4 linked regions of the Oreochromis niloticus genome follow. The protein of the gene in region 2 purifies or fractionates together with the protein of the main gene of each other region. This does not show direct contact. Links are inferred from orthologs where the notes say so. Each region holds a gene or a part of one and is shown on either strand. Other genes may lie near its edges.

Region 1 (6,992 bases), on a different chromosome or scaffold from region 2:
GAAGCAGGCGGAACTTCCTGTTTAGTGACCCTTTAAAGGACAAACAGCTGAGCTGAGCCTTGGCAAGCAGCTCGGTGATCGTGTGCCAACAAAGTGAACTGTGTCAGTATCACAGCGGCTCTGCGTTAGCGTGTGCACCATCGTCCAGCTCGTTAAGACTGCCCTGGGCCTCTCACGGTCCTGACACACACCTGGACCGTCAGGGTTCAGACACTGAGGCCGTACCCAGACTGCAGAAGCATTTGTCACACTCTGAGCCGAGACACAGCCATCCCCAGCTGACCTCTGGAGCACCATCTGAGCTTCATCACTAACTTGAACTAGCGCCGTGTGAGCTTGTAATACCTGAAAAATCTCTCTGCCCCATTAAAGTAACAGAACACTTTCCACACACCGACTGCAGCGAAGCGGACAGATCAGCAGGTCACATGTGTGATATCAGCAGAATCCCACAGCGCCCCCTATTGTTGCAGTAACAAGCAATGTGACAACCAACCCCGGTCCACCCTACAGGGAAACGTCCTTTCAGAGGACCAATCGGAGAGTCTGCTGCATCGGTTCGGTTTATGCTTGCGGTCTGCTCACCGCCGCTCTCGCGCGTCCCCTCTTCTGCTTCTTTGGCACCTTTTCCTTCCAATTCTGCTCCGTTATCTGTGATTGGCTGATCCCCTTCACCTGTCGACACAAAGAACAGGAAGCTGTAAAAACACACCGAGCTTTACACAGCAAACACTAAGTGATTTAGGATTGGTCTTCAATGTGGTTTAAGTCACCAAACAGGTAAAAAGGGGCATGTCTACAGCTGCGATGTGAAACCAAACATTCGGATTACGAACTTACCACCAGGCTCCGCCCACTTCTTCTGCAGCTCGTCCAGGTCGGCTGGCGTGGGGAGTTTCTGACGAAGCGGTTTGATGTTGAAGGCCTGGAACACTTTCTTCCTCTCCAGCTCCGACGCCTCCTCCGCGGCTGCTGCCGGACTCAGAGCCGGGCCCGGTTCAGCTTTGGCGTCCGTTAGAGCGGCGGCTACGCACTCCACCACGTCGTCCCTGACTGGTGACGTCCGTGGCTCCAGGGCCATCGTCTCCTCTTTGCGGATGCACTCGAGTTCAATCTGGATCTGTTTGTATTTGGACAGCAGATCCTCAAAGGACTCGTCACCACTGCTCTCTGGCCTGGGAGCGCCGTGAGCCGCCTTCCTGAGCCGGTTCCTCCCGAGAGGTTTCTCTGAGGTCTGCGTTAAAGAACGCTGATCAAGAATTACTGGTCAACACTGATCAATACTCATTTCATTTTTAAAGTCATGATTTTAAAAAATATATCAATCCATCCATCCATTCGCTTCCGCTTATCCTTTTCAGGGTCGCGGGGGGCGCTGGAGCCTATTCCAGCTGTCATAGGGCGAGAGGCGCGGATAGGTTAATTGGATAATCGAAAATATATCAATATTATTAAAAAAAGTAAAATTTTCAAAAATAATTACAAATCTTTGCAACCAATGAAAAGTTTCACTTTTTAAGAAAGTGTAAAATTAAGAAATGAACAAATTAAGAAAACCTCACAAAAAAATGTCCATGTAAAAGAAGCAAAGGTGCTTCTCCTATCATCGGATTATTGATCGCAGATCAATGGCAGAAAACACGCAGCCCTCTGAAAACTAATCAAAAGCTTTTTCAATTATGGAACTCATGATCTCAGATCATCACCTGCACATTTGATTATTGCCTTCCAAACACATGATTTTTTAACACAGTGTGTGTGTAGTTCCTGCCTCTGTCCCAGTTGAAGGCTGACCTGTGGCTCTGAGCTGTTTGTTATAAACTCCACCACCTTTCGTCTGTAACACTAAACTTCCGCTTGTGGGATCAATAAAGTATTGATCTATTGATCCATCTATTGATTTGGGCTTTTCACAGCTGTCTTTAGGATCATTTCAATATGATCGATCAAGCAATACATGAACGAGGAAATAATCGATCACTGATGTAACCGTGTAGCGGATGAATGAGGACAGCTGCGGCTGAGGGGAAGTTGCAATCACACATACGTCATCACCGCGCAGGTTTCGTTTCCTGCTGTCACGCACGCGCGCACCTGGTGGAGTGTGAAACGTGAACGTGAACCAGTCGAAGCCCAATACACTCGCGGATCAATGGGCTGATCATTAAACCAATATGTAATCAATGAAACCCTGACCGGCTCCTCGCGGGCTGCCTAATTCAATCACCGTCCCGGGGGCAGGGGGCACGTGACACAGCAGAAAGGATACGCTTCCTCGCGGGGGAGCTGTGGCTCTCTCCGGGCAGGTACCGTCCGGGAGGTGGCCGGCTGTTGCCCCCCCGGCCGCCGCGGCTCCAGCCCCCGGGCCCTCCGTTCGGCATGCCGCGGTGCCGGAAGCGTCCCAGCGTGCCGTGGCTCCGCTCCCAGAAGCTGGACCGCGGCCCGGGCTCCCCGTGAGAGCCGAGCCCGGGAGGCTGCTGCGGCGACGGTGGCGGGGAGGGAGGCCGGTCGGGCCCGCTCGGCCCGCACTGTTGCCGGTGGCCGGCCGGGAATGGGCCGTGAGGGCCGAGGCTGTAGGGCATGAGGTGGCGGAAGTCCGGCGGCGGGTGGCCCAAGTGCGGCGGCGCGCCGTGCGGGTGCTTGTGCGGCTTTCGTGGCCGAGGAGGAGCACCGCCGCGGGGCCTGCTCCCATCCCCCCGCCGCGGAGGCGCTCTCTCCTCGGTATCATCATCGCAAATTTCTCCGTCTTCTAGCTCCCCGTCCTCCGCGGCGGATCTGTTCGGAACGTCTACGTCCATGTTGGGGTGACCGTCTGCAGCTCCCTACTGGGGCCGAACTCAGCGGCGGGTCCCGGAGCTCATTCCGTGGCTCTGAAGCAGCTTCGCGGAGGTTCTCTCCGCTCTGACCGTTAGCTCTCTGTTAGCGTTCTGCTAGCGCCGCTGCTACCAACAATCACCGCGATAAAACGCGAGACTTCGCGGGACCGGAAAAAGCACATAAAAGGAGTGTCGCTACCCGATCCGTACCGTACGTATCCGGGTAGTGACAAGGGCTGTGTCCCAATTCAGGGTATGCACGCTTGAAGTACGCACACTACGCGTACTACGTACGGTGCGTACTACAAGTACGGGAAGTGCGGAAGTGAGAGGCTTGTGAAATGGGACGGTCTAGCCTTCGTTGCGCTGTTCAGGTTGCCTAGCAACCATGATACTAACCGCGAGAAATGTTTCATACAGCTTTGTGTGACAGAAATGAAGGAGAAAAAATGTTTTGTTGTTCATTCATTTTTGTCATGACATCACTTTGATTAGTTGAGACCACAGGACTGTAAAACATGATAGTTGGGCTTCATTTCTGTACTGAACAGTCATTTTAAGATTAGTTAGTAAATAATAATTAGCTAATGTTATTCATGAGACTAAAGTCATCTCACTGTGGTAATGTTAATATAATATGGACAATATTATATGTATTGTCAGATTTTATATATATATATATATATATATATATATATATATGAGCTTGAACTCTGGGTCAAAGATGCAAGTAGCAGTTAATTATATTTCCTATCACCTTAAATCTTCACTCAAAGACAAGTATCTCTGACAGTGTATATACAGATGTATTATATATAAGAGACAAACATTGTTCTTTCAATATGTTGGCATTACTAAATTTGGCTCAATGCTTATATATATGTGTAAAAAGAAAATGTACGAGCTGTGATAACTGTTTCTGATAGAATGAAGATCAGACTGATATATGAAATATTCCTTTATTGGGTGAGAAAATCAGACCATGTCATAACTGCTTTAAGTCATACAGAATAGATATCAGAGCCTTAAACAGGCTGACTTCTGCTAAATGGGTCAAACTGGGCAGAAACTATACAAACACATAACATCCTTATAGAATATGATGTAACACTATAGATCAGCTTACCTCAGAATATATAAAGCATATAAACAATTACAGCAATATGATGCAACAAACAGAGCAGTACTACTGATCCAAAATACTCAAAGCTTCATAGAACTGAAACAAGCATTTATTTTTAGCTCCATTCTGCTGCTGATACATACTTTAGGTTTCTGAACATTAAACTTGTTGCTGCCTTTCATAGTGTTTAACTTGAAGGCCCTGAGTACTTTCTCCCACACTGAAAACACTGGGATGATCACATTATTTGAACATTACCTAATAAGACTGATTCAGGACAGACAATTAGTTATTCTAAACTTTCCTAGCAGTCCTTCACAAACAGGAACAGTCTGTCTATTCTCTCCATCTGTCAGCTGCTGCTGGCTCTTCCTCCTCCTCTTCCTCACACACTGCTGAGTTTGTCCTGGTGGATCATCAGGGGTGCAAAGCCTCACAGATGATGTGCAGCAGTGGGTCCCTCAGTCTGTCCTCACTCTGGACACTTGCAGTCGTCACACATGGAAATCAAATGTGTGATAAGCTGCAGGATTCAAACACAAGTGTAACTTATAAATACATGTTCATACTTTTATTCCACAATCAGAGAGAAAGAAACAGAGAGAGAGTGCAGGACAGACAGACAGGTGACAGTCTCAGGTGTATACACTGCAACAAAACAGCACAAGAGAAGGAGGATTTAGTGTTTGTGTTATTACGAGTGCTAAACAAGAAGAGTTCCCAGATGGTCCAGTGGACACATGTGTGACTCCTGTGATTAAAGCATCTTTCTTTCAGCTTAACGAGTGAACCGTCAGCTCGTTCAAACACACGTTAAAGTCCGTTTGGCTCGACACCACCGAACAGAGGCAGCAATATAACATAGCTAACATTAACAGTGCAGTGAATCCTGCTTGTGCCGTCATATTCAGGACTGTAAACCGAGCAGCATCACTGACTTTCAGCTTGTTGTGTTTGTGGATATATGACTGACTTTAATTATCCATAAAATCATCACATTCTCTGTAAGATTAAGGTCGACTATATATATATTTAGAAGTAGAGGCTTTAAAACCAAGTTACCGCTGAAAGTACAAACATCACTAATGTCACATAACTTTGCCGACATGTGGCCAACAGTAATGTTTTAATGTTCTTAAACATTCCCACATAAATAAGTGACATAATATTCAGTACTTACTTTTGACAGTTCACTCTTCGGCTGCTCCCTTCTGCCGTATTTTGCGGCAAAATTATCCACACCCACCGCCGCGCTATGGATTGTGGGATATATGGGACCACGAAGCGTGCACCGGACCACGCTTGATATTTGGGGAAATCGACGGCGCATTTGGAGTATGCATTTGAAGTGCACTTTGAATTGGGACAGCCGTCGTCGCGTGGCGGTGACGTACTCGCACTTGAAATGCGTACTTCAAGCGTGCAGACCCTGAATTGGGACACAGCCAAGGAGAGCTGTGGGTTTTTCTCTTCCTCCCGGGAGGCGGGGCCTCCGCGTGTTGTTCTTACTTTATTTATTGTTTTTATTTTGTTGATAGTTTTGTTTTGTTTTGTTTTGTTTTAATTTTAATTTATTTCATTGATTTTGTTTTGTTAATTGTTTTTATTTTTTAGTTTATTGTTTTTTATTTGTTTATGTTTTTTGTTTTCATTTGTTCTTATTTAATGTAATGTTTATTTTGTTTATAGTTTATAATTTTGTTTCTTGTTTTTGTTTCATTTCTTGTTTTAACTGGGAGCAGGCTGCGGTGCTTCCTGTCTGCTCAGCCCCCTGTGTGACATCACTGATGGTTATTTATCTGTTCCCTCAATCAGAATCAGTCTCTCTGTGTGTTTCTGTGAAAGTGGCCACAGCAAGAAGGCCATGTCTACCACTGGCTTATATAATAAAGTGTCAGCAGCTTGTTTTGAAAGGAGAGCTTATATTTATTCATGTGGTGAATGCGGAGGTGAAGCCAGAAGAGGGTGGCGATGAGACACAGTGAGGAGCAGGAGGAAGGTGTAGGAACTGAGCAGAGGAGCAGGAAGGTGATCAGGAGCAGCAGGTTGAGGAGGACGGAGATCAAGAAGATGAAGGACACAGTGGAGTGGAGCATGAAGTCTTCGTGGGAAGTTCTGTGTGGAGCTGCAGGTGGACACAAGTCAGGAAGATCATCAGAGTCATATTACTTTAAATCACACAGGTGGCCTCGGTTTCTATTAGTCATTTATTATTGATTATTTATTAAAATTATGTGAGTTAAAAATTCAGTCTTCCATTTTAAGCAGAAGTTGAAGCAGCGACCGGTGGATGGTGACTCAGAGTGGTTCTCACAGCTGCTCGATGACCCCACAGTTTCCTGAAACAGACATAAGTCACACCTGTAACTGCTCTGTGACACCTGTCAGTGTGCTGGTCTGGATGTGGACCTTGCAGCTGCAGGTTTTCAGATTGTTTCGAACCTTCCAGAGAGACTATGCTCTTCCTTCTTTGTTCTGACAAAGCTCTGAGAAAGTTTGGCAAACTTTCAGATTTTTGGAGCTTCAGTGGTCAGTGGGTGTTAAAAAACACTCACGGTGTTTCCTTTCTGCTCTTGGTGAAGTGTGAGAAAATGCTTCCCCTCAGAGATCTGGCAGGACAAGCAGCACAGTTTCATGATGAGCTTGTTCACGAGTTCAGAGCAGTGATGCTGATGTGACACAAGGATAATGTACGAATTCAGGGGGTCAGAGAGCAGATGGATAGACGAGTGATCCACGGTGTAAACAGGATGTTTCTGTCAGGATGAAAAATTAAAACAAGTGAAAGCTTCACTGCCAGCCTGAAAGATTTTAGTATGACAGGTGAAAACTGATCTGATGGGTTTCCACTGAAGGCGTTTTCTGGGAGCACTGGGATGTTGTTGTTCTGCAGGAAAACACTAGGCAGTTTGTAAATCAGGTGTCCGTTCTTCGTACCTCGCTAAGTAAGTTAGCTGGATTTGATTGTTGACGATTTCGCGTGATCTTGGATCATTCGGTTCTCCGAAGCTCATCCGGGACTTGCTGCCATAGCAACAGATCCGTAAGCGTAA
Region 2 (7,454 bases):
CTCCTCACCATAGTTAGTCATGTAGAAGGAGATGCGACCCTGTAACGGACAGGGCTGGGCGGTTAATCAGACTGTAATCTCAAGTATTATGAAAACAAAGTAAGTGGCGAAAAAATATTTACTTTTTCCATTAATTTTACCTGAAACCTTTGTGTTTTGCTGTTATAAATCAAGTGCACCTCTGTCTTTTACAACTGTTTGGTGTTCTCCCTTCATAAAAACTAAAAATCACTTGCTGTTTAGTTCAGCTCAAGCCAAGATGACTAAAAGATCTGGAGGAAATAAAACTACCTGCTTGTGTCACAGGATCACTGAAGGGCTCTCGCTGGATTTCGTTCAGTAATCAGCAACAGTTGGCCTTTCAGTCAAAAACACTCCCTAGTCCTGTGTCCTCCAGAACTCCTCATTTTTATGTATTCATTTTTAATTTTAAATTATAGTTAATATAAAGGAGTCCTGCAGCAGACTGGCGACCTGTCCAGGGTGTACCCTGCCTCTCGCCCTAAAACAGTGGATAGGCGGAAATGAATGAATGAATGAATGGATAAAGAAAATACCCTTTGAGACACCAATTTTTAAAGTTCAAAAACTGCTGGTGTTGTGTTTTAAATAATCAGGTTGAGCCAGGAGATGCAGGAGGAAACATACCTGTCTTTGAGACTCATAAAGAATGCGGTCCATTGTGTTCAGCAGGGTCATCTTCTGATAAAAGTTCAAAACTGTCTCTTTGGAGAGCTGTGTTGGAGAGAAACACACAATTGACAAATTAACTTTGGCTCAACAGACTGCAGAGGTCTTAGGGGCACATTTGGGAACCAGGAGCACAGGCAGGCTGATTGTACCTGAGGGTCTTGAGAGGGGTTGATGATATTTCCCTGCCTGTCCATCACCCGGTACACTGGGATCCCAGAAATGACATTGGGCTGGATGAACTCGAGCTGATCCACAAACTCGGCTGAGGCTCCTGGAAACTGGGGCTTTTCCAGCGATGAGTCAAAGGGCTGCTGCAGCTGAACAACCTGAAAAGATTGATTACAATCATTATTTATTAAGAATCTCATTGTGGCTGTGGCAAAAAAAAGGCTCTAGGAAAAGAAAACACTGCATATCAGGTCACAAAACTCATACAAACTGTCAAGCACGGTGGTGGAGGGGTGATTTGAGCTTTTTTTGCAGCCACACAGCCGTGAACTCTTCTGTATACCAAAGTATTCTAGAGTCAAATGTGAGGCCATGTGTCTGACAACCACTGGGTCATGCAACTGGATAATACTAAGCAGAGCAGCAAATCTACAGCAGGATAGCTGAAAAAAAGGTGTTCCAACGTCCCAGTGACCTTTAACCTGACTGAGATTCTGTGGTAGGACCTTATGAGAGGTGTGCACAAACAACTTACCTGAATTTATTTTGTTAATAATATTTTTTGTATTTGTGTTGCTTCGTTGTATTTTGCTCTTTTCCCCCCCCACGGGTTTGTCCACCAGCACTTTGAACTGAATTAATAAACTGCATAAAAATGGAATTAAAAATTAAGTTTCATTGATTGATTATTAGTTTTAGTTTTATTTTTTTCAAAAGGCTAGTTTCTAATTTTAGGTAACCTTTTTAACATCTAGTTTAAGCTTTTAGTTTTGTTTTAGTTAACTACAATAACACTCGTTGAATCTTTAGACATTTTAGAAAGCTTAACTTCAGAAAGCTGAAGACAATACAATACTCTTATAAATCATGAATAAGTATGTACTTCTTACAGTGCAGTTCCATTGCTCCACTATAACAACCATTTCCAAATCTCCCTCCCATACAGATTTTAGACACTCCAAATGATTATTGATGGACCTATAAATAAATAAATTAGATTATTTTTAAAGAGTTACATACAGATTTAAGTGCTGGAGCGATCGAAGGAAATAAAATAGCAGCGAAGGCCATAGAGCAGCAACAGTTATTAAATAAAGTTGTTTTGAAAAAATGATGCATTCGAGGACATCGGATTTAAGCTTAATGCAGTTTGGATGCAAACTGCATTTCGTTGCCCTGTACCTGTGACATGTGCAATGACAATAAAGTTGAATTCTATTCTATTCTATTTCCTCCTTCACGCCCCTTGGTTCGACCAATGGAAAAGAAGCTAGCTAAGCCTTTAGCCGGTTGGCTAACTAGTCAAGTGTGAGAGTCAAAACAACAAAAATTAAAATTAGTATTTATTGCAACTAAAGTTGTTTATTAAAGATCAAACATGTATTCACTAAATATGTGAGAGTTAGTTTGACTTTTCACTGATACATTGGAGAATCGGTATAGAATTTCAGCAAGGTTGTTAGCCATGCTAGCAGCTCCGTAGCTAACCAGAATCTTTGCGCAAACAAGACATAACCCCAAAACTTATTAAAAGATAGGGTGACAATATTTCGAATTCCAAAAAAGAGGACACTTGGCCCAATCATGAAGAACTATAATAATACTGTTTGCTTAAAGAAAACTGTGCGGTTAATGAATGGTGAAATAAAAAATGTTTCCCGGCCCCTCAATGGCAGCGTTATCTCCAGTCCAGACTCCGCAGGAGCGACTTTTCCCATAATTTATTCATCGCCCTATCCAAACACTGCATCGGAGTTTTCACTTACAGTGACCCTGAAGCCTCTGCGCTGCAGCAGTCGAGATGCCTTCAGTCCTGCTGTCTGGCGGACAGCGTGGAAACAGAGCCCATACATTTTGCTCATGCTGCTCACAGCCGCCATCGGCACTCAGTAGTTGTTTGATTTAACCGCCGCTGCACACCGGTTTAGAGAAGTTACACTGTGGTGGATATGTAAAAATCTGGCCAACGGAACTGCTAATAACCACCGCTCGCTGTCCTTCCTGTTTACATCCACAGTTTACAGGCCGATAGCCGCAAACTGACTGCACCATTAAAGCCGGCTACAGTATCCTCAACATCCGGCCAGGCCTTCAAAATAAAACCTTAAGTTTAGTTGTCCGTTTTTACATATTTCATAAGTTGAAGAAATGAGCGATTAAAGATGTCGAGATTTAACACTCTTTTGTGTTAGAATAGCAATAATAAATAAATAAATAAATAAATAAATAATGCGTGGGTTTTCCAGAAAGGCAGAGTGCCAGTTTTATGAATTAAAGCTCCCCCTCCCAGTCGGGGAATTAACCTGATGAAAGTCCATTGTGTGATACTGACCTGTTAATTAAAATACTGTCACTATGTTATATGCGTCACGAAGCGCCTTGGTCGTTTTCCGGTGGCCTTTTTGGGGCGATTTTAACTTATCAAAATCAGTATTGCCTATTTTAAGACACATTGCCTGCTCAGACACAGCAACGCAGTCACATTAACAACAAACGACAGTTATTACAATGTGATATATAATACATCTTACAAAAAGAAGTAAAAGTAAAAAAAAAAAAATGAATGAAAAATTGCGCATGTGTCTTTTTGGACATACAGATCAGCTGTAACATGCCTGAAACAGTTTGTAATAAAACAGCGTTCCTCTAACGAACTCTACCTGAGATGTCAGTTATACCTAAGTTAGAGAGTCAGGGGCAGATATGCAATAGGAAAGAAAGAAAAAGAGAGAAGGGAGGATAGAGCCGTAAGCAGTATGGAAAAACTGATGAACACAAGTGTTCTTAAATACAGTCATAAAAGAACGATTTCTACGTCCTTTCAACCCTACCAAAAATTAAACCCTACTCTGCTGCCATCTTGTGGTCACAGTGCAGTAGTGCATTAATAGCAAAAGCAACGTCAGTGGCATGCACAGTAAAGAATATTATTACTTCCAGTCCCGATGATAAACCAAGTAATATCGCAGGTAGAGGCGTTGACATATTAAAATAAAGTATTTCAACTACTTGTCAAAATCTGAAAATGTCTTCGCTTCAGTTCTGAGCTAACTGATGTTGTAAATGCAGACTGCAGATAAATCAATTTTTGCAGCCACGAGTATTTATCGCCATCTAGTGGTGATAGCGCGAGCTGCAACATGGTGATTGCAATTCACATCATGCCAGTGAAAGCTCACCTGTGGAAAGCAGTAAATAAACTGATGTAGATAAAATTCCGGTGGGTGGTTATGACGAATAATGAAAAAAAAAAAAGAGAAGAAAATGATAGGTTGACACCGTTGTGTTTAAATGCAGCTGCTGCCTGCCATCTGGCGGTCATTGTGAGTAACTACACATTGTTAAACTCACAGTTTACACTATTATACGGATGCTGCACTTCCGGTACTTTCAAAATACATTAAACGTATTAAGGCAAAGTAGGGCTTCAGATTGCGTCAGGAAAACGTGAATTATGATGAAAAAATATTATTTTTTTCTTCGTTGTCATAGATATATATTACAGATCCACATTTCTTGTGAATTAACTATTTATTAAAGCTAACATTTCTTTCTCATTCTGATGTCATCAGTAAGGAGCGTAAACTACAGGGAAAACAGATGACGCCATCCGCCTGCGACAAATCTGCTTTCTCCACGATGGAGGTCTGCGGCTCCCTGACTGTTTCTTTGAGAGAGTTTGGTTGTGAACAGAGCTTGCTGTCTCGACCTGATGGCTCTGCTTCCTTCGTCCAAGGTAACACTAATTTTAGAAACTATTTATCTGGGCGTTTATTTGCCTCTTACCGCTAAACTGGACTTAAAAGACGGAGAAAGGTTAGGGAACATCTCTGGAAATTAACCTGCCACTTCAGTTACTGACATGACTTTCTTTACCTTTATGAATAAGAATAAAAGTAAAACATGCTGGGGGGGTATTGTTAATCAGGCATAATATTTACCTTTTCGCAAAACTGGTAATCTTATTTATACATATTTATATCTCGGGGTTTTAACATGCTTCGATGTGATTATGCAAATGTAATATAAGAAATATTGAACTATTTGTCAAAATAATGTAACGATGAGAATCAGGAGCGCATCTATTGTGGTGGTATGGGGTGGCATGGGGTGGCATGTGCCATCTTACCTTTGTATATGACAATGTTGTTTATTAAAATAAGGTAGCATTAACTTTGAGCCTAGCTACAACTAATTAATAAAATAAAATACATTTATTGCATAGTGTTAACCGCCCTCCAGGGGCGGATCTACTGTGCACATTTTGAATCAACACCATGGACATTTCAGATTTCAACACTTCTCTGGAGGCTTCCAAGTCACATGACCAATTTAAGATGACATAGCAACAAGATGCAGTCTCCATTTAATTTTCATTTTTGTTGAAAGTTCAAACTATGTACCAAGAAAAGTTAAAAAACTGCATTTTCTAATAACAGCGCGAAAAAAACCCACCACTTTCCTATTGGTGGAAAAATGTACCATATTGACCAATCAAAAAAAATTATCTGGCAACATGTGACATTTGTGTTTTGGGGAAAAGGGGAGAGCAATTCTACAGTCATTGGATGTGAGAGATTTGTGACATTTAACGTGTTTGGAGTGTGTAGTTAATGTAAAGTTAGTGTGTTGTGTAGTTCTTTGTTTTGTTTTTATGTGTCAAAACAATGAGGACACTAGTGATTGTCACAGTTGCTGCCAAAAGCCATCAAAGGCAGATTGCAGCGTAAACGCTGTCTCCAGGTGAAAAACAGTGATACGCATACTGTTGTTAGACCTGCAGGTTTCAGGTCTGTGATGTGCTCCTCTTTCTTGTGGTGGACAGAAACTTTCTTTTGGAGTGGCACAAATAATTTGTGTGGCATCTTATTGTGACACCTGTTCTGTAATTATAGTTTTAGTAGTTGTACAAAAATGTCTGAGGCATTGGCTGCATTATTAGGTAAATAGTTGCATGTATCTTTATTCTTTGCAAGATTTGTGCAGGCGTTTTTAAAATTTACAATTTATATTTGCAATTCTGAAACATTTTGGCGTTTTATTTGTTTTGTTTTTTGTTTTTTACAGTAAAACCTTTTTCCTGCTCAGATTTTTTTGGGGATGTAAATTCAGACATGTGAGATTGTGCTGAAAAGAATGATACCAAACAAGACAAGGCAAATAGTTTTTAAAGGTGAAATGTAAAGGTAAAATTAGTAAGTAGTCAAAAATGGCCAATAATATCCTGGACATCAGAGGGTTAACCTAATAAATCATGAAAAATTGTGGTGAAAACTTTTTCATGACAGTGCAGACTTCTGGCAATTTGTGTAAATTAAAGCCTGTAACAATTTGATTATTTCTAATTTTAAAAAGAGTGTGAAACTAACCGAACTGAACTTCTAACTGAACCATCTCATGTCTTGTACCTCTATGTATTTTATACTTAATGGCCAAATGCCTATTTATTATATAGGCTATACAGTACATCAAATCAAAATGTACATGTTTTATGTAACTGAAATGTTTAATTATTTGGGCTAAAGAAAATAAGAAAGTTACAGACTATGTTTATATGAAATGTGTATACTTACTGCATTTGATGTATTTTAAACATATATAATGTCTGTCACAGAATGTAACACCTATGTGGACAATAAGACCAAGGTTCAGGGCATGGGCATGGGGATGACTCAGTATCCTTCTGTAATTTGTGTTTATACTTTTACCTTTAATATTCAGATTATTACTCCAGAATGATTCAGAGATGAGCCCAGCACCCTGTGTACCCCGCCTCTCGCCCTATGATAGCTGATAATGATAAGCAGAAATGGATGGATGGGCTGATTCAGTGTCTTTAAAAAATGTCTTAAGAATAAATGTGAAATTTACATGATGAGACTTTGTGACATCAGCTTTAGTTCTCTTATTAAAAGCTTGTTCTAAATAGGGTGTCTGCGTTTGAGTCCCCTCTTTAAAAACTACATGTGCTGTGAGCATATTTACTGGGTGTCGTACTGCTTTCAATGATTTGATGTTACTGCTTTTCCCCTCCTAGATGTCTGTTTATGTGGGGAAAGACATCATTAATGCTCCAGTGTTATTTATTGAAAAATGCTCCTTTTTGTTCTTGTTTGAAGGAGACACGAGTGTGATGGCTGGAGTGTACGGACCAGCTGAGGTCAAAGTCAGCAAGGAGATCTATGACCGGGCGACCCTGGAGGTGTTGGTACAGCCCAAAGTGGGGTTGCCAAGTGAGTTTTTCTTTTTAAGGGGTAAAAAATTTCATTATGCAGCGTTGCTTATTTTATTTTAGGGAAATAGACTTTTTGCATCCTGATATCTACAAGAATGTTTCAGAGGTTTCTGCTGTGGAAAAAGCTGCTATACCACAGCTCACCACAGGGTGGGGTACGTGAGCTTTCTGCTCACATTAAGTTTTTTTATACCTCGATTTGTTTGTTTTGTAGGTGTAAGGGAACGATCACAAGAGCAGTGTGTGCGAGAAACCTGTGAGGCTTCTCTGCTCCTGACGCTCCATCCACGCTCCTCGCTCACTCTCATTCTTCAGGTCCTGCATGATGATGGTTCAGTATCCTTCTGTAAAACTCTGC
Region 3 (7,719 bases), on a different chromosome or scaffold from region 2:
TCCTAGCTTCTCATGTGGCCCTTTAGGAAAATTAATTGCTGACCATTGCCTTAGATAGATCAGCAGTGTATCATACGGTCAATTTATACAACCACCATGCACTCTCAGATCGACCAGAGGAAACGGACAGCTGAGCAGAAGGTTTGCATCCTGTAACAATCTTCCTATAATGCGACACTATTAAACATTTCAGCACCATGCTGCCCATAAACTGTATAAAAGAAAATAATTCAAACACTGTATTTTTGGTGAATATTTTTATGCTAAAGGCATTATACTCACAAAACCTTTTTCTTGATGATGTTCAAAACATTGCATTTGTTTAAAACAAAAAAAATTAAAATAAAAAACCCAAAAAACCTTTTGATTCATAGAATCACTTTCAAAATACAAAGATTTATACCAGTGTAACATTACAAGAACATTACAACATGTATCAAACCTAGACCAGCTTTTGGCATCAAGATCCAAAAGTATCTGAGACTGCCCTGAGATGAAGTGTCAAACGTGGCAAATACAGTCTTTTGCTTGTCAAACACATTTGCAGACTGCTGCAGGGCAACCATGAAAATTTACACGACTCCAAGCTATGATCCTGATGATGAATTGTTCTGTTTAGCTGTCTTGTGTAATTGTTGATCAGACAACCGTAGCCTTCAAATGTGGCTTATGACCAAAATGTTTTACCTCAGTGTTCATCACCCTTAAAGGTTGTGCTCTTTTGCACTTTGACATACTCTGCAGATTCTTCTTTATATCATTTCTGCTTTGAACGCTTTGATGGAGGAGCTTCTGAAGATGTGCCTGCTGCTTTTTTTTTAGAATCCTTATCATCAGGATCATAAAGAGCACTCCTGACGAAGCGTGCAGCAGCTCCCTTATCCAGACGGGCAGCTTTTTTCTTGTCTGTGATCTCTTTCACTCTGTTCATATATGTTCTTATTCGCTCCTGAAACAACAGAATGGTTACTGAGGAATTAGACAATACATATGAATCCATGTGAGCAAATAATAAGTCAGAGATAGATGGCACATACCAATTCTTGTTTGATTCCATGCTCTCTGGGATTTATCCCTTGTGTTACCAAGTACACTGGGTAAGATAAAAATAAAGCCACATATCCACATTTTACACACAAAATGACATCCATGTACGGAAAAGTTGTAATGTATTTGTCTCTTTGGTATGCTTTCACTATATTCATTTCATTTTTATTCATCAAGATATAACGATTAGACCAAATAGGGAAAAAACTCACTCCAGAATAATGAATTAAGGGTGTAGGCAGACATCAGATCCAGCTTGGCTTGATCCAGAGGATCCAACTGTTAATAAACCAAATTTAATTTTTTTTATAACCTCCTGCATATGACAGATTAGTATCACTTTTTTCATTAAATGTATTTGTAATATATATTCAACGTACAGTATTGTTTCACTGAATAAAATTTTGCTCTATAAAAGAAAATAAACACACTAGCCACTTTATTAGGTACATCTTTCTAGCATTGGGTTTTGACATCCTTTGCCCTCAGAAGTGCCGTAATTCTTCATAGCATAGATTTAACAGGGAGGTGGAAACATTCCTCAGAGTTCTGGTCCATATTGATATGATAGCATCACACAGCTGGTACAGCTATGTCAGTTGTACATCCATGATGTGAATCTCCTGTTCCACCACATCCCAAAGATGCTCTGTTTCATTGAGATCTGGTGACTATGGAGCTCATCTGAGTACAGTGAACTAATAGTCATGTCAAGAAACCAGTTTGAGATGATCTGATGACATGGCGTGTTACACTGCTGGAAGCAGCTATCAGACGATGGATACACTGAGGTCATAAAGGAATAGACATGGTCAACAACAATACTTAGGTAGGCCGGCACTTAAACACAATTAGTAGTATGGGGCCAAAAATATATGGCAAAAAAAATTCCCTATACCATTAGACCACCACCAGCTGCCTGAACAGTTGATAGCAGATAAACGTGGCACCAAGCGTGGTCTTGTGTTGCTGTCACCCATTAGCTACCATGTTCAATGTGTTGTGTGTTCACAGATGCTCTTCTGCATACCCTTACTGTTGCCTTCTTATGAGCCTGTGCAGTCTGGCCATTCTCCTCCAACGTCTGGCATCAACATGACATTTTGACCCAGAGAACAGACACTCACTGGATATTTTCTCTTTTTTAGACCATTGTATGTAAACCCTAGAAATGATTGTGACGGAAAATCCCAGAAGATCTGCAATTTTCTGAAATACTAAGACCACGTTCCATCCCCATCTCAGTTGTTTTTCTTGACCAAGTTCACATTCCTAAATTGATTGAGCTATTGGCACATTAAATAATCTGTTACCGAGTAGGTGACCAGGTGTACCTAACAAAGTGGCCGGTGAGTGCACGAGGGTATATAGATAGTAGGTACGCACAAGCACAAATCTAAGCCAACAAAAAGACCACAGTACCCGATGTGTATAATAGTATTAGGCCTACCTTTTGCAGCAGGTCATTTCTGGGCATCGACATCAACTGCTCCAAAATGGTTTTAACTGAAGTCACTGACGAGTCGAAGCACGTGAGCTGTTCATCTATCTCGTGAGGGTAGTCCTCAGCGGCGCTTTCTGCGGCCATATTTCTGTAAAATAATTGAATAATTACACCGTCGTGTAACTTTCCTGTAGCACTATTTTTCATTAGAAGAACAGAAAAGCAACAGCAGTATGTCCAGGGAGAGAGCTAGCATAAAATGCTAACAGGAAACCAAAATAACCTTTAGATAAGCTGAGGAAAGTGACAAAAAGGATAGATGTAAGTTACCATTTACTGATTTAATAGCAAACCAGGATCACTGTAAATTAAATCTAACAAAACAAGAAAAAAAATCACATACTTACCCTGTTAGCAAACAACACGCTTTAGCCGACAGGAAATGACGTTAAAACTGTGACCTAGTCGTCTTCGCTTTCCTCTTCGCTCCTCTACCGCCGTCTGCCGGTGGGATGAGTGGAACAGCTAGTTATCGTTAGCTAATTTTTTTTTTTAATTTATTTTTTTTTTTTAGCGTGATAAACATTTTATTTGCAGTTTTCTATATTTTGTTTATTAACAATATCCGCTTTTCTATAACCGTGTGTATTCTCTAAATCGACGCTATATTCCTTATTATTGACTTTTGACACATTTTTTTAAGCAAGGGTCTAAACGAAAAACTTCTTTAAGTGCCAGCTGTTGTTTTCATTCCTATTAAACGCCCAAATCTATTTAAAATACTCATATGTAGTAGTAACTTAATATCTAAATACAACAGAAGTGGTCATGTTACTGTGGTAACGTGGGGCGTCAGTGTGGTAAATAAAACTGAGCGCGCTAGGATGGGAAGTGCTGTGTTTTGGGACTGTTGTAGCTAAACCCAAGCAAGCTATAAAGAAGACGCCTGAGTCATCATGGACAACTGTGATTTAGAGAAGCTCTGTGTTTCTGCTGGGACGCTCCGTCCATCGTTCACACCTGAAGTCACAGACTACAAAGTGACTGTGGAGAGCAGCGTCAACGAAGTAACACTGGACGTGATGACAAGCGACTGTGGGGCTTCATATAGTATTGTGAGCAAGCTTTATGGCTTCTATTTCTCAATTCAAGTCTCTTTCGCATCTAATTTAGCCTTGTGATTTCTATTTCAGCTCTTCGGTGAAAGGTCTAACACGATTACACTGAAAGATGGGTTGAACAGAGTAGGAATCGAGGTGGTAGCTGAGGATGGTACCATAAAGAAATACAGTGTGGAAATCACCAAACTGTCAGCAAAGATCGCAGAGCTCAGTAACCTGGCTTTGGAAGGAGATATTTCACTTCACCCCGCATTTTGCACCAAAGTTTTTGAATACAATAGTGAGTACAGCCTATCTGTGTTAAACAAGAAGTTGTATATGAAATGTATAATTCTTTGTTTTGTTTTCTATTTCAATTGATACACAAAAGCAGCAGCAGCAGTACACATGTGTGTAAATGTATGTATAAATATGCTACTTTGTAAGTGAATATTATTTAAAATGCAGAGACATAAAAGGTTTGCAGTATTTCTCAGTTTACAAAATAAATTTTTATGTGCTTCTGTGGGGGGGTTTTCCCTCCAGGTACTGTTCCCTTTTGTTGTAATTCAGTGACACTCCTTCCTGAGGTGCCTGACAGAGGCATTAAAGTTACAGTAAATGGGGTGAACAGCTCGGAACCAGTCCCTCTGAATTTTGGAGACACAGTGGTGGAGATTTCAGTCTGTTCACCAGATGGCAGTGTTTCACAGGTATAATAAGACATGGATGGTGGAAAAACTTTATATATGCATTCTTTGAAATGCTTTGAAACTCATCATTATCCACCTGATAACATATAGTTTTCTAAATTTTTAAACTTCATATGCTTTTAGTGTTGCTTTTGCTTCTGCATAATGAAACTTATTAGGAATTTGAGTCTTTTTAAAGGTCTCTGTTGGAGCCCTAATAACTCCTGCACATGAGTGGATCCATCTGCTTTGTACCCATACATCTATCTGTGGTAACCTTTTGTCAGTAAGGGAGTAGCTAGCATTTTATACCTAATGATCTTCTCACCTTTTCAGGTGTACAAGGTGTTGGTGACTCGAGAGCTGCTTCCTGTGCCTGTGACTTTCACTGATGTGAAGCAGCAGCTGGAGTATGAATGCCCAGTATCCCTAAGTGCTTTCTACAGGCCTTTGTCTATCAATCACAGGTAAGTCTTGAAACAGTTAACACATATTGCAAAACATATTCGCCAATAGTCACATCCATTACTTATCCTTTGGTTCATGCTGAATATTAATTCGCAAATGAATGATGTATTTCCTCTATATAAAAAATACTACAATATACAGCAATTTACCTTTCACACATTTGTTCTTTTGCTAAATTGTAGTGAACCAAAGAGCATCTTCTCAAGGCCTTATATTGAGTTGCTTGCCCGAAGATCAAAAGTTGACCCACTTAGTGATTGTCCTCTCGGAGACGGCTGGAAGGTTGTTGAACTGGACCTTGACAAGAAGATGTCAGCTGCCTTGGTCAAGTGTTTCTTTTTTTACAGAGGTGAAGCATTTCAAACATATTAGTTTAAAGCTACTGGGAAGAGTGGATGTTCTTATTCTGGATATTCAGATAGGAGGAGGTTCTGTTGTTCTTAAAGAGAGCTCGTAGATTCCTGAACTTCTAATACAATGAATGTCACATCAATGAATAACAAATGAAGCCACTGCTCTAATATGGATTCTTTGAGTTACTGCATTATTTTCACACCTATAGAAAATGCATACAACTACATTGTTAACAGGTATCTTACCTCTTAGCAGAAGTGATTACACAAGCTATACTATCATGTAACATGATGTAGTACTGTAGACAACTATCATGTTGCCCTAATGACAGGGGGTATTATTACTTAACTAAAACCTTGTGCCACTAACTGTCACGAGACAAAGACTGGATTTTATATCAGGCCTTCAGAAGATCTGGCTTGCTTACTCAGATGTGTATTTCTAAATAATCAAGGCTTCTCTTAAATTGTTTAATTTAGTTAAAAGTACAAATAAAGTAAAATTGTATTTATATAGCATCTTCCAAGATAAATATCACAAAGTACATCACAACAAAAATGCTAAAACATTAAAACAAAAAGTTACCAAAAGCAAGTTTCAAAAAGATGAGTTTTTAGCTTATTTATTATCTTGGGTACAAATCTGTCAGGGGCACATTAAGAAGTTCTGTTTTCTCTTCATTAAGTTAGAGATAATTGTCAGCCATCCAACTTTTCATAGAGCCTCAGCACCTCTGCAAAATCTCTAGCTTAGAAACACCTTGGGGCTTAAAAGACTTATATAACTGATCATCTGTCATTCTCATAGCAGTGAAGGAAAATGTCCTTAAATTGCAAGTGGCAGTTTTATTTATATACAACATTTCAACCTTAATATGCTTTATAAACGCCCCTTAACAGAACTTTGCAGCAAACTGTGGTGAAGAGAAGTAGAAGAAAACATGTGTTTAGAAGCAGCCACAGAAAAAGATCGATTAGAAAGATATGACCATAACAAATAGACCCTGAAACACCCGCCCAGTATCTCAGCCTATCAAGCCTTTTGCACCTACAGGGACAGATGGACTGAAATAAAGATGGAGGTAAAATATCGAGAGTGCAGGAGCATGCTTTCATCGAGTCAATTAATTGCTAGTTTGGACACATTGCCTTGGGAGACGTTGCATGGGGAGCAATTCTACAGATTTGTTAAATAAACTGACAGCTGAATCCATCCCGGTCCACCTCTAATGAGCTTTTTTCCCCTTTTAAACAAAGGGTGTGATACTACAATGAAACTGTCTGAGCTTGGGTCACACATTCTGGACTGTTTACATAAACCTACAGGGGACCTAGATGCAAAGGTCAGTGTAAAAGATTAAGCAGGAACCTCCATTGTCAGAATCACTGATATCGACTTTGTCACTCTTTATCCTTTATTTACAAGGCAATGCTCCATTTAACTGTGAGTAAACGCAAGTCTGACTTCCACAGTAAAAGTTGTGTCCACTTTGATGTTGAATGAGTCAATAAAATAGTAGTTTTTAGCAACCATTTATAATTTTTACATTTCAGTAATTGTTATTTTACCATTGGTAGAATGATAAACCCAGTTCTGTATATTCAGCACAGCCACCTTGTCATTCCAGTTCAAAGCTTTATCAGTGGAACCTGGTAAATGCACTTTATAAAATCTTTTTTTTTGTGGTATAATCAGGATAATATTTCTTTTAGGATGTAACTGAGACAGATTGGTATAAGAAGCACTTTGAATCAGCCAAATGTCGGGAGACAGAGACCAAACACACCTGTGAGGTAATAAGCTCTATTGCGTACTTCTTTCAGTGTCCAGTTAGTTAATATTCTGACTGATGTTGATGATACACAGCAAACCTAACAACCTACAGTACAATTATTTATGGCCATAGTTCTATCTTGTGGTGAATGTGGGTAATCTAGGACCTTGATAGTTTACCCACTTAATCAAATGAAAATAAAAAAAATTATTTTAACATTGATTGTGTTATAATATGATTATGAATCATAATTATGATATAAATGAGGCTGTAGATGATTTGCCTTTATCATATTCTCCAGTGTTAAATATAAGTTATAATATAGCTCATATCACTACTCCTACTGTATCTGTTTAAGCTTTCCTGCTTGGTCTATTTTCTACTACAGCTTCGTAACTGGGAGGAAAGACTCCAAATGACAGCAGCAGAAGACAATGTGGACAAGTTGTGTGCTTTGGCCCAGGAGCACCTGAAACTCTACAGGCAACATCTGCCAAAGCCAGGCATGTAGCACTTTCACTTTCACGCCTACATTTTAACACTTTGTGAATTATTATGCTGCATTGTAAGATGGTGATCCAAAACAAAATGTGGGTCAGGCAGAGTGTAAAGCTATTATAATACAAACTAGAAAGTCAGAAAAAAAACCAAATGCATTTTTTCACCTGTTACTTTTTATAAAATGCTGACTAATCTGTCTAAATTACCATCTGCCCTAATGACGAATGTCTGTAGTTGCCTTTATTTTTAAACAGGCTATTTACCGATTATTTAAAAATACTCTTGAGCAAAAGGACTTTTTCCTCGCCTTGCCTTGACAACACAGCTCAGCTTAAAGCT
Region 4 (7,184 bases), on a different chromosome or scaffold from region 2:
GCAAGTTCGCACAGGGATAGTGTTTGTGCTGGTGCAGCCATTCCCTGAAACATCACAGAAGGTATGCTGCTTTGAGGAGTAAGGAGCGAGTTACTGAAAGCTGGGCTTCGATTTGAGTGCTCCTGGATTAAATCGGCCAATGTTGGGCTGCCCTTTGAACCACCCAGCATGGCTTTGCCTCCAACCTCAACAGACTGCTGATTTTTCTGCACAACAGAGCTGAGACTCCCAAATCCAGGAGGAGCAGCCATAGAAGAGCCTGCAGCTGCTGTCTTGGGGTTGTTTAGCGATAGACTACTGAGTGAAACTGAAAGGATGGAGGGAGGAGAGGCTGGTGATGCTGATAACGTCTTTAAAGATGCCAAAGCTCCCAGTGAAATACTACTCTGATTAGACATAATGGATGCTGATGTTGTTGCATTTAGTCCTTTGTTGGATGAGGAAACGTCCGAACCCTGCCTTGTGTCAGCTACTACTGACCCCTTATTCTTTTGCTCATGCTCAGAGATGAGCTGTGCCAGACTACCACCACTGCTAACACCTGGGCTAATGTTTTTAAGGCTAAAATCCTGCTTTTCACAGCTGCCAGCATTTGGTTGAGATAAGAGTTCACATAAGCTGGGTGCTTTTAGTTCAGGTACATGTGGATGTTCATGTTTGTGCCCATGTGTGTTGGCTTCATGTGCCTTGGATGTCGTGTCTGTGTGAGAAGCAGACAAGCAGGCTCCTTACCTTACAAAAGCCAAGTGCAGTTGTCGAAGAGTAGGGGTGAGGGGGAGCAGAAGTCAAATCAATCATGTAGCAAAAGAGAGAAAAAAAAAGACAGAAAGAAGGCACTTTGTTAAACATTTGTATCACTATACAAATTTGTGCGAAATCAACCAAGAACACTACTGGCTGTTAGGCTTCCATACACCCAATAATGACACATATTTATATAGAAGTACTAGCAGCAGTGACTTATGTTGACTGCGTTTGAGGAGGAAATGGGAAATACTTATCTTGGAACACCCACCTATACAGAAAAATTTTTCATAGCTATGAAACTCCACAGAAAACCCAAATCTGTTATACAACCCTTTAAATGCCACAAATTAACGTCCTCCCGGTGTGTTACTACACTGAATCACTCAGGGGTAACAGTTTTCAATCACTGAAACATTTTTATTTTGACCCACTCAAGGTGTACCTTTGTCAGCCACAGCCTCTTGTTTGGTTCTTTGTGGTTGTGGCGCTTTGTCCTGGTTAGCTCGCTCTACTGTACCAATCTCTTCAGCTGTACTTCTGGTAACTGGAGCGGTTTTAGTGTCTTCAGACAGTACTGCGTCCAGTGCCCTCTGTGGGTCAAATCCACATTTTATGGCTGCCTGGGTCAGGACTGAGTCCGGCACTGCATCTCCCAGCACAGTCCGCATGTGGTCCAGACAGGAATACAGCTTGGCTAAAGAGTACAGCAAACATTGGACACACACAATAGATTTGTGATCCATACAAAAAGCAAAGAGTAAAAAAAAAAAAAATGCACAATTTCAAACAAAAGTTTAAAGGACAAAAGGAATTGGTGCATGGAACCTTTAATTGTGAAAACACAAAAAACAAGTTGAGAAATTTTTATATTCTGAGCCACAGTTGTGTGCTTAAAAATACTACCTTGATCAAGAGGGCTGAGGTTGTGGTTGACAGTAGGGGACACAGGGACAGCCTCATCTTCAAATTCTTCCTCCTCTAAAGGCTCTTCCCTTGGTGCATGTCTTTCTTGACGCGAGTAGATGAACTGATTTGCTAGATAAGCCAAAACCATTTAATTTTAATAGTAGATTATACGTTATCATACATGATGTCTACTTAATGTTGCATACTTTCAAACTTAAACTGGAAATGCAAGCAACTATTGTTATCAATGAGTGTAATGAAAAAAAGTTATTTATTTGAAAATACAGTGTATGCTTAACTTCAGACAGATTCAAATTAGTTTGCTCCATCTTCACTATGCATCAATGCTAACCAACCTGTTGCTGGTGAAATGCAACAGTAGTCATCCTCCACAGACTGTCCATACATGTCATCATCTTCAAAGTCTGAAAAAAGAAGAAGAAGAAGAAAAACAACACTTAGATGGATACCTTTGCTCATTTAGTTGTGCCTCACACAAACAGTCGTATACACAGTTGCAGTAAAGCCCCTTTATGCCAGCTGTGACTTTGCTTTGTCAGCAACTTTATGAATGCCACTGCACACTGGAAACCTGGAGATTTTCCTCTAATCGCTAAACTCTAAGCTTTATTTACAGAGATATTTCGCAAGTTAACAACATGGGGAGATGTGAATGTAAAGAAGAGCAAGTAAGGAATCTGGTGTAACTGACACAAACAAAACATTGGATAGTTAGCAAGCTAGGCTAGGCAAGTAGCTGGCAATAACCTGAGTAAACATTAGTAAATTGAGTAGCTACACACACCTCACATCAAAATTTGTCATTATAACATTAACCTAAAATCCTGGGTTTGCGTGGGTATAAGTAATTACTGTCGTTATGGGACAATTTATCTTGCGCTAGGTGCCAAGTGACACGACATCAGTGTGATCTTGCCAGTTAAACGACCTAGCATTAGCCGCTACAGCTACTGAATAACTGTAAACTTTAGCTTAGCTGTAAACAGCTAACTGGTTTAGCTCTTTGAGGCCTTGCCGCGGCATTTAAATCGGAACCCTTTTTGCCATCTACCTTCATCGTAGTTGTAACCTCGAACATTTCTATGACGAGACATGTTGATTATGCCTCCTCTCTCGGCGCCACTGTTATGTAATTCGGTTCACGGACATGTGTTCACTGCCCAGCGAAGCTCCTGCAGTTGCTGCTGTGTGAAGCTAGCCTACCTCAGCAGGCAGGTCACAATAGATTCGACAGTCACGCAAATACATAAATGTAACCACAACACAAAAAAACAAACAAAAAAAGAAAATAAATGTATTAGTTGTATTTACGTCATTTCATCGACACCGAGCTTTTGCATAATTAAAGTTTAAAAAAAAAATAATAATAAAAAGTTTTTTTCTTCGCTGACGAAACTTCCGTTTGTAGTTCTTCAGCCTGGCATAAGATCTCAATGGGTTTCAAAACGTTTGCGCTGTCAGACCTAGATTACACTGGATTTATTTACAGCTTCAACTCTGTGCATCCGTCAGAGTAAAGTTCTGCAAGCCTAAAATAGTAATAAAAGTTGCACCCCATATAAAAAAGAAACATTGCACTACACGACGAGTTTAACAGTAAATAATAAGAAATAACAAACCACAACAGAGAAAGAAAATAAATTATGTCGCAAAGAAAGAGAAAACAACCCATCTGTGTAAAATGGAAACGTTATAATAAAATTACTCTTTAAAACAAAGTGAATGACTGGGAGAGGACTCTGTCTGACAGAGATAAGAGTATCACAGGAAAATAAGAGAGGTGTGAGGTGGTATGAAATACAGTCTGTAAAGTGTTAGATTTTCTCAGGTGTTAAGCGTCCATGGTGCGAGGAGGGTGGGGGGTGTAGCATTTCCTTTAAGCCCTATAGTCTTTTTGCCACCAGGCATCAGGCACATATAGCAATGGCTGAAAAAAAGAAAGAAGAAAAAATGTTGCAGAGCTGGGCCTCACATGTGGTGATGCTCACTGACCTGTGGTTTCTCAGGTTGCGCTTGAATTATATATATTTTTCGTTTAAGAGGAACAATACTTGTAAATATTTGCTGCACTGAAGCAGAGTGAAGTTTTCCATTTTGGTAGGACACTGTCACAAAAACAGAGAAGCAAATAGGTGAGGAAAATCAGAAAAAAAAGAAACGGGGGGGTGGGGTGCCTTTGTGACTCATATCAGTAATAACTGACCTGGCATAGTTTTCCTGTAACAGCAAAAGCAAATTTTTTATTTCTAGTTGCACGGCCTTTAAGATCTGTGGACCTTTGACTGTGAAAGAGGACTGACCAAATGTTGTTAAATAATGTTCTGATTTGCAGTTTTTTAGTCTTTTTCATTTTAAATGTTTCCCACCTGGATGTTTACGAGGGGGTAACCCTTGTTTCTCTTTTCTGAAATGGGTAGTTTATGTCATATTTCTAACCTGTTTTCAGAGTATAATGTCTGGGTGTGCATCACAAAGTAGTGAATGTGATCTCTGCTTTTACGGCTTACTAGGGCTACGTTTGAAAAAAAAAAACCCCAAAAACGGAACAATTCTAATTGTTGTCCAGTCACATCTTTAATGATTCATTGAGGTGTCAAAACTCATCATTAAGGCTACAGGGGGAAGTTGTCGAATGTCATCTTTGTGAGAGGAAAGAGTTCAATCATTTGCTCTTCAATTTCCGAGGCAACACTTAAAAGACCAATATATAAAAATCTCAAACCTTGGTTTATTTAATTCCACAATTGTGCCATTTTATTGGGTCCAGTGCCAATATTTTCAAAGCTTCCCCCCGAATAGGTTGTGCACCGGATGGTGCTGGAACTTGTCCTCCCGCAGCTCTGTGTTTACAGTGTACACATGTGGAGAAGGCTGATGACTGTCCCTGTAGTTTCGATGACTTACTGCACAGATTTCCTCTCGTTCCCCGCGGTGTTCCCAAACACCACATTGGTTCCACTTGTCAGAATCCTCAGTGAATCCCGTGCAGGCCTGTTGGGCTGACAGCTGAATCTGGCCTTCCTCTGCACCGATGAAGTCACGTCATTCTTTTTTTACAGGGTTCTTTGACCCAGCTCAGGTGTTCAGATTTTCTAGTTTTAAATCATACGAAGGAAACACCATAATGATTCAAGCAAACAAACAAGCAAACCAAAACTTAATTTAAAAGTTATAATGCACCATGCACTCTCTCAAGAAAAAGAAAAAAAAAAGTGAACTGAAAGAACTCAAGCCTGCTAACATGAACTACCATGCGCATACAAATTTGAATCCCACCTTTGATTTTGGGGTGTGAATGACTATTTTGTCAAAGGTTATCGCCTATGGTTAGGGGCCAACCCATCTGAGCCCACACTACACCTCGAACAAACACTCAGTGACATCATATTTTCCTGCTATCTTTGTACCACAAGAAATCTATAGCCTGTCTACCACAAAGGGGGAGAAGCGAGAAGTGTATTTGTGTGCCCTTTTTTTTTAGAAACATTTCGTGTGCTTGTTTATCTGCGAACTGGTCTGCAACATGCCCCTTTTTTGGTGTCAGATATGCTTGCAGATGTATGCATGTTTTGTTTTTTTTGATGCATCTTATTGCCTCAATGAAAGGAAGGATGATGAAAATGTCAGACAATAATCTGATAGCAGCGATGCAGGTGAAATTTACAGCATGCATCTGCAAGGTGAAATGAAATATGAGGTCTGGCGTGTCTCCCCCTTGCTAAAAATAGATCAGAATAAAGAACAGCTCCTGCTTAGGTAATTGTAAAGACTTTTTTCACGAGTGATGGCTCATATTGCAACTGGCAGTTTGACGAAGATCAGATTGACAGAGGTTGGTAAGAACAACGTGGGGGGGGGGGGGGGATTCATATTGGGAGGGGGACGTCAGTGTAGAAGATGATCATTTGTTGTACGTAAAAGTTTGCCCTTGTGTGTGTGTGTGTGTGTGCCTTTGCCTGCGCATGCATGTGTGACCCTGAGTGGGTGGAGGTTTCCCCTTACAAAAAGAAAAAATTCCACTTCCTGCGTTTTGAAGTTTTAGGTGCACATCTACATGTCAAAATAAACAACTGCACATGCATACATATGCAGTTGTTGTTCATTGCTCAGTTTACAGGGTCACACAGGTGACAGAGGGAACTCTTCCTTTACATCAAAATGTTTCTAGGACATTGTACAAACTAAACGCTTCAAACAGCACCTGATGCAAGATGGAAATGGAACATATTGCATAAGGGAGAAGACATGTATGCCAAAAAAAGAAAAAGAAGTCAATTGAAACTAGAGAAGTTGGTCTCTGCAGTGTTTCTCTTGCATTGTCCTTGGTCAACATAACCTTTTGAGATTCACAACAAAACAGAGACTTGTTTAAAAAAAGAAAAAACGCCACAACTTCAACCAACCAGTCTTTGACACAGTGCTATGCCAAATACGTTGTTTGTGTGTGTGTGTGTGTGTGTGTGTGTGTGTGTGTGTGTGTGTGTGTGTGTGTGTGTGTGTGTGTGTGTGTGTGTGTGTGTGTTTTATTTGCTCTCTGCCACCTTGATGCAATCACATATAGAGATGAATCAAACATGCGTTAGTGTTGCAACAAGAAGGTGTGATCATTTCACACCTTCACACAGGATCTGAACACTTGTTTCCTTTCAATGGCTTTTGAGCACTTGCCGGACAAATCTCTGTTGCCGCAGAGTTTACAGAAAGTCTGATCAATTAATCAGTGGCAGATGAGTGGGATTTCTGAGAGAATGGATTCTGCGCTGATTAAAAGGATTAAACAGATGGATGGACAGATTGTTGGAAGAATGATGGGATCAGAGGATAATTGCTTTGTTTGTTTTTAAACCTGTAAATTATATCATTTTTGATTAAAATAAAAATAAAGATGTTTGCGTTTGTCACATCACCTCCAAATGAATTACCAAACATTTCACAGGATCCGCATGATAGCGGAGAAATGGAACACGGTGGTGTCTGTGGAGTCAAGTGAAAGCAGAGGGTTGCAAATTCTGGTGACAACAACATGTACATTTGCAAACAGATTAGCCTGCTGTAATTGTAGAAGACAAAGCCTCTGTGCATGTGCGTGGGGAGGGGGGTGAGGTCCCTTTAAAGGTTGGCAGTAGGTACCGGGGGAACACTTTACATAATTTTCCAAGGGCCCCAGACATGGTGGGAGTGCATTTTCACAGGAACTCACCCTCGGGGAAAATGCAAAACATACACCCTTTGCAGTCAGGTGGGCAAGCAGTCCAAACAACTAAAGTACACAGAGATAATATATAAAAGGTATTTAAAGGTATTTAAAGTAGCAGGTTGAGAAGTTAAAAGATAATCACACTCAAATCCATAAATCCTGAAGGAAATAGTGGTTTATGTAAAAAAACAACCCAAAATATGAAATATCTAACAATCAATTAAAAAAATAAAAATTCCCACTGGTTTTTGGCATGTGATATATTTTTTAAAATACACATTTATTCCCAGTTAACAATTAGTAAATATGTGGC

The links.
Region 1: the proteins of exosc5 (region 2) and zfc3h1 purify together in Homo sapiens (affinity purification with mass spectrometry; 3 studies listed by BioGRID and IntAct, with this or other methods). This does not show direct contact. The link is inferred for Oreochromis niloticus from reciprocal best matches to the Homo sapiens genes EXOSC5 and ZFC3H1.
Region 3: the proteins of exosc5 (region 2) and c1d purify together in Homo sapiens (affinity purification with mass spectrometry; 4 studies listed by BioGRID and IntAct, counting the BioPlex papers as one, with this or other methods). This does not show direct contact. The link is inferred for Oreochromis niloticus from reciprocal best matches to the Homo sapiens genes EXOSC5 and C1D.
Region 4: the proteins of exosc5 (region 2) and hbs1l purify together in Homo sapiens (affinity purification with mass spectrometry; 3 studies listed by BioGRID and IntAct, with this or other methods). This does not show direct contact. The link is inferred for Oreochromis niloticus from reciprocal best matches to the Homo sapiens genes EXOSC5 and HBS1L.

Annotation. Positions count from the first base shown.
Region 1 is NC_031972.2:2,020,138-2,027,129, forward strand, and holds the start of zfc3h1 (zinc finger C3H1 domain-containing protein), read right to left. Parts: upstream 3,024-6,992; 5' UTR 2,799-3,023; coding exon 2,270-2,798; intron 1,228-2,269; coding exon 841-1,227; intron 676-840; coding exon 586-675; intron 1-585. UniProt on the Homo sapiens protein: Subunit of the trimeric poly(A) tail exosome targeting (PAXT) complex, a complex that directs a subset of long and polyadenylated poly(A) RNAs for exosomal degradation. The RNA exosome is fundamental for the degradation of RNA in eukaryotic nuclei.
Region 2 is NC_031979.2:33,448,768-33,456,221, forward strand, and holds the start of exosc5 (exosome complex component RRP46), read left to right. Parts: upstream 1-4,443; 5' UTR 4,444-4,461; coding exon 4,462-4,597; intron 4,598-6,980; coding exon 6,981-7,094; intron 7,095-7,310; coding exon 7,311-7,432; intron 7,433-7,454. Other genes in the region: bckdha (2-oxoisovalerate dehydrogenase subunit alpha, mitochondrial), read right to left, coding at 1-39, 649-735, 843-1,019, 2,628-2,741. UniProt on the Homo sapiens protein: Non-catalytic component of the RNA exosome complex which has 3'->5' exoribonuclease activity and participates in a multitude of cellular RNA processing and degradation events.
Region 3 is NC_031978.2:9,067,319-9,075,037, forward strand, and holds c1d (nuclear nucleic acid-binding protein C1D), read right to left. Parts: upstream 3,017-7,719; 5' UTR 2,899-3,016; intron 2,845-2,898; exon of another isoform or gene 2,822-2,844; intron 2,640-2,821; 5' UTR 2,636-2,639; coding exon 2,498-2,635; intron 1,327-2,497; coding exon 1,260-1,326; intron 1,094-1,259; coding exon 1,038-1,093; intron 950-1,037; coding exon 758-949; 3' UTR 243-757; downstream 1-242. Other genes in the region: uncharacterized protein LOC102078762, read left to right, coding at 3,448-3,606, 3,685-3,892, 4,138-4,304, 4,620-4,750, 4,934-5,100, 6,362-6,447, 6,818-6,898, 7,268-7,382. UniProt on the Homo sapiens protein: Plays a role in the recruitment of the RNA exosome complex to pre-rRNA to mediate the 3'-5' end processing of the 5.8S rRNA; this function may include MPHOSPH6.
Region 4 is NC_031980.2:8,000,928-8,008,111, reverse strand, and holds the start of hbs1l (HBS1-like protein), read right to left. Parts: upstream 3,008-7,184; 5' UTR 2,769-3,007; coding exon 2,726-2,768; intron 2,079-2,725; coding exon 2,010-2,078; intron 1,783-2,009; coding exon 1,651-1,782; intron 1,442-1,650; coding exon 1,190-1,441; intron 728-1,189; coding exon of another isoform or gene 1-727. UniProt on the Homo sapiens protein: GTPase component of the Pelota-HBS1L complex, a complex that recognizes stalled ribosomes and triggers the No-Go Decay (NGD) pathway.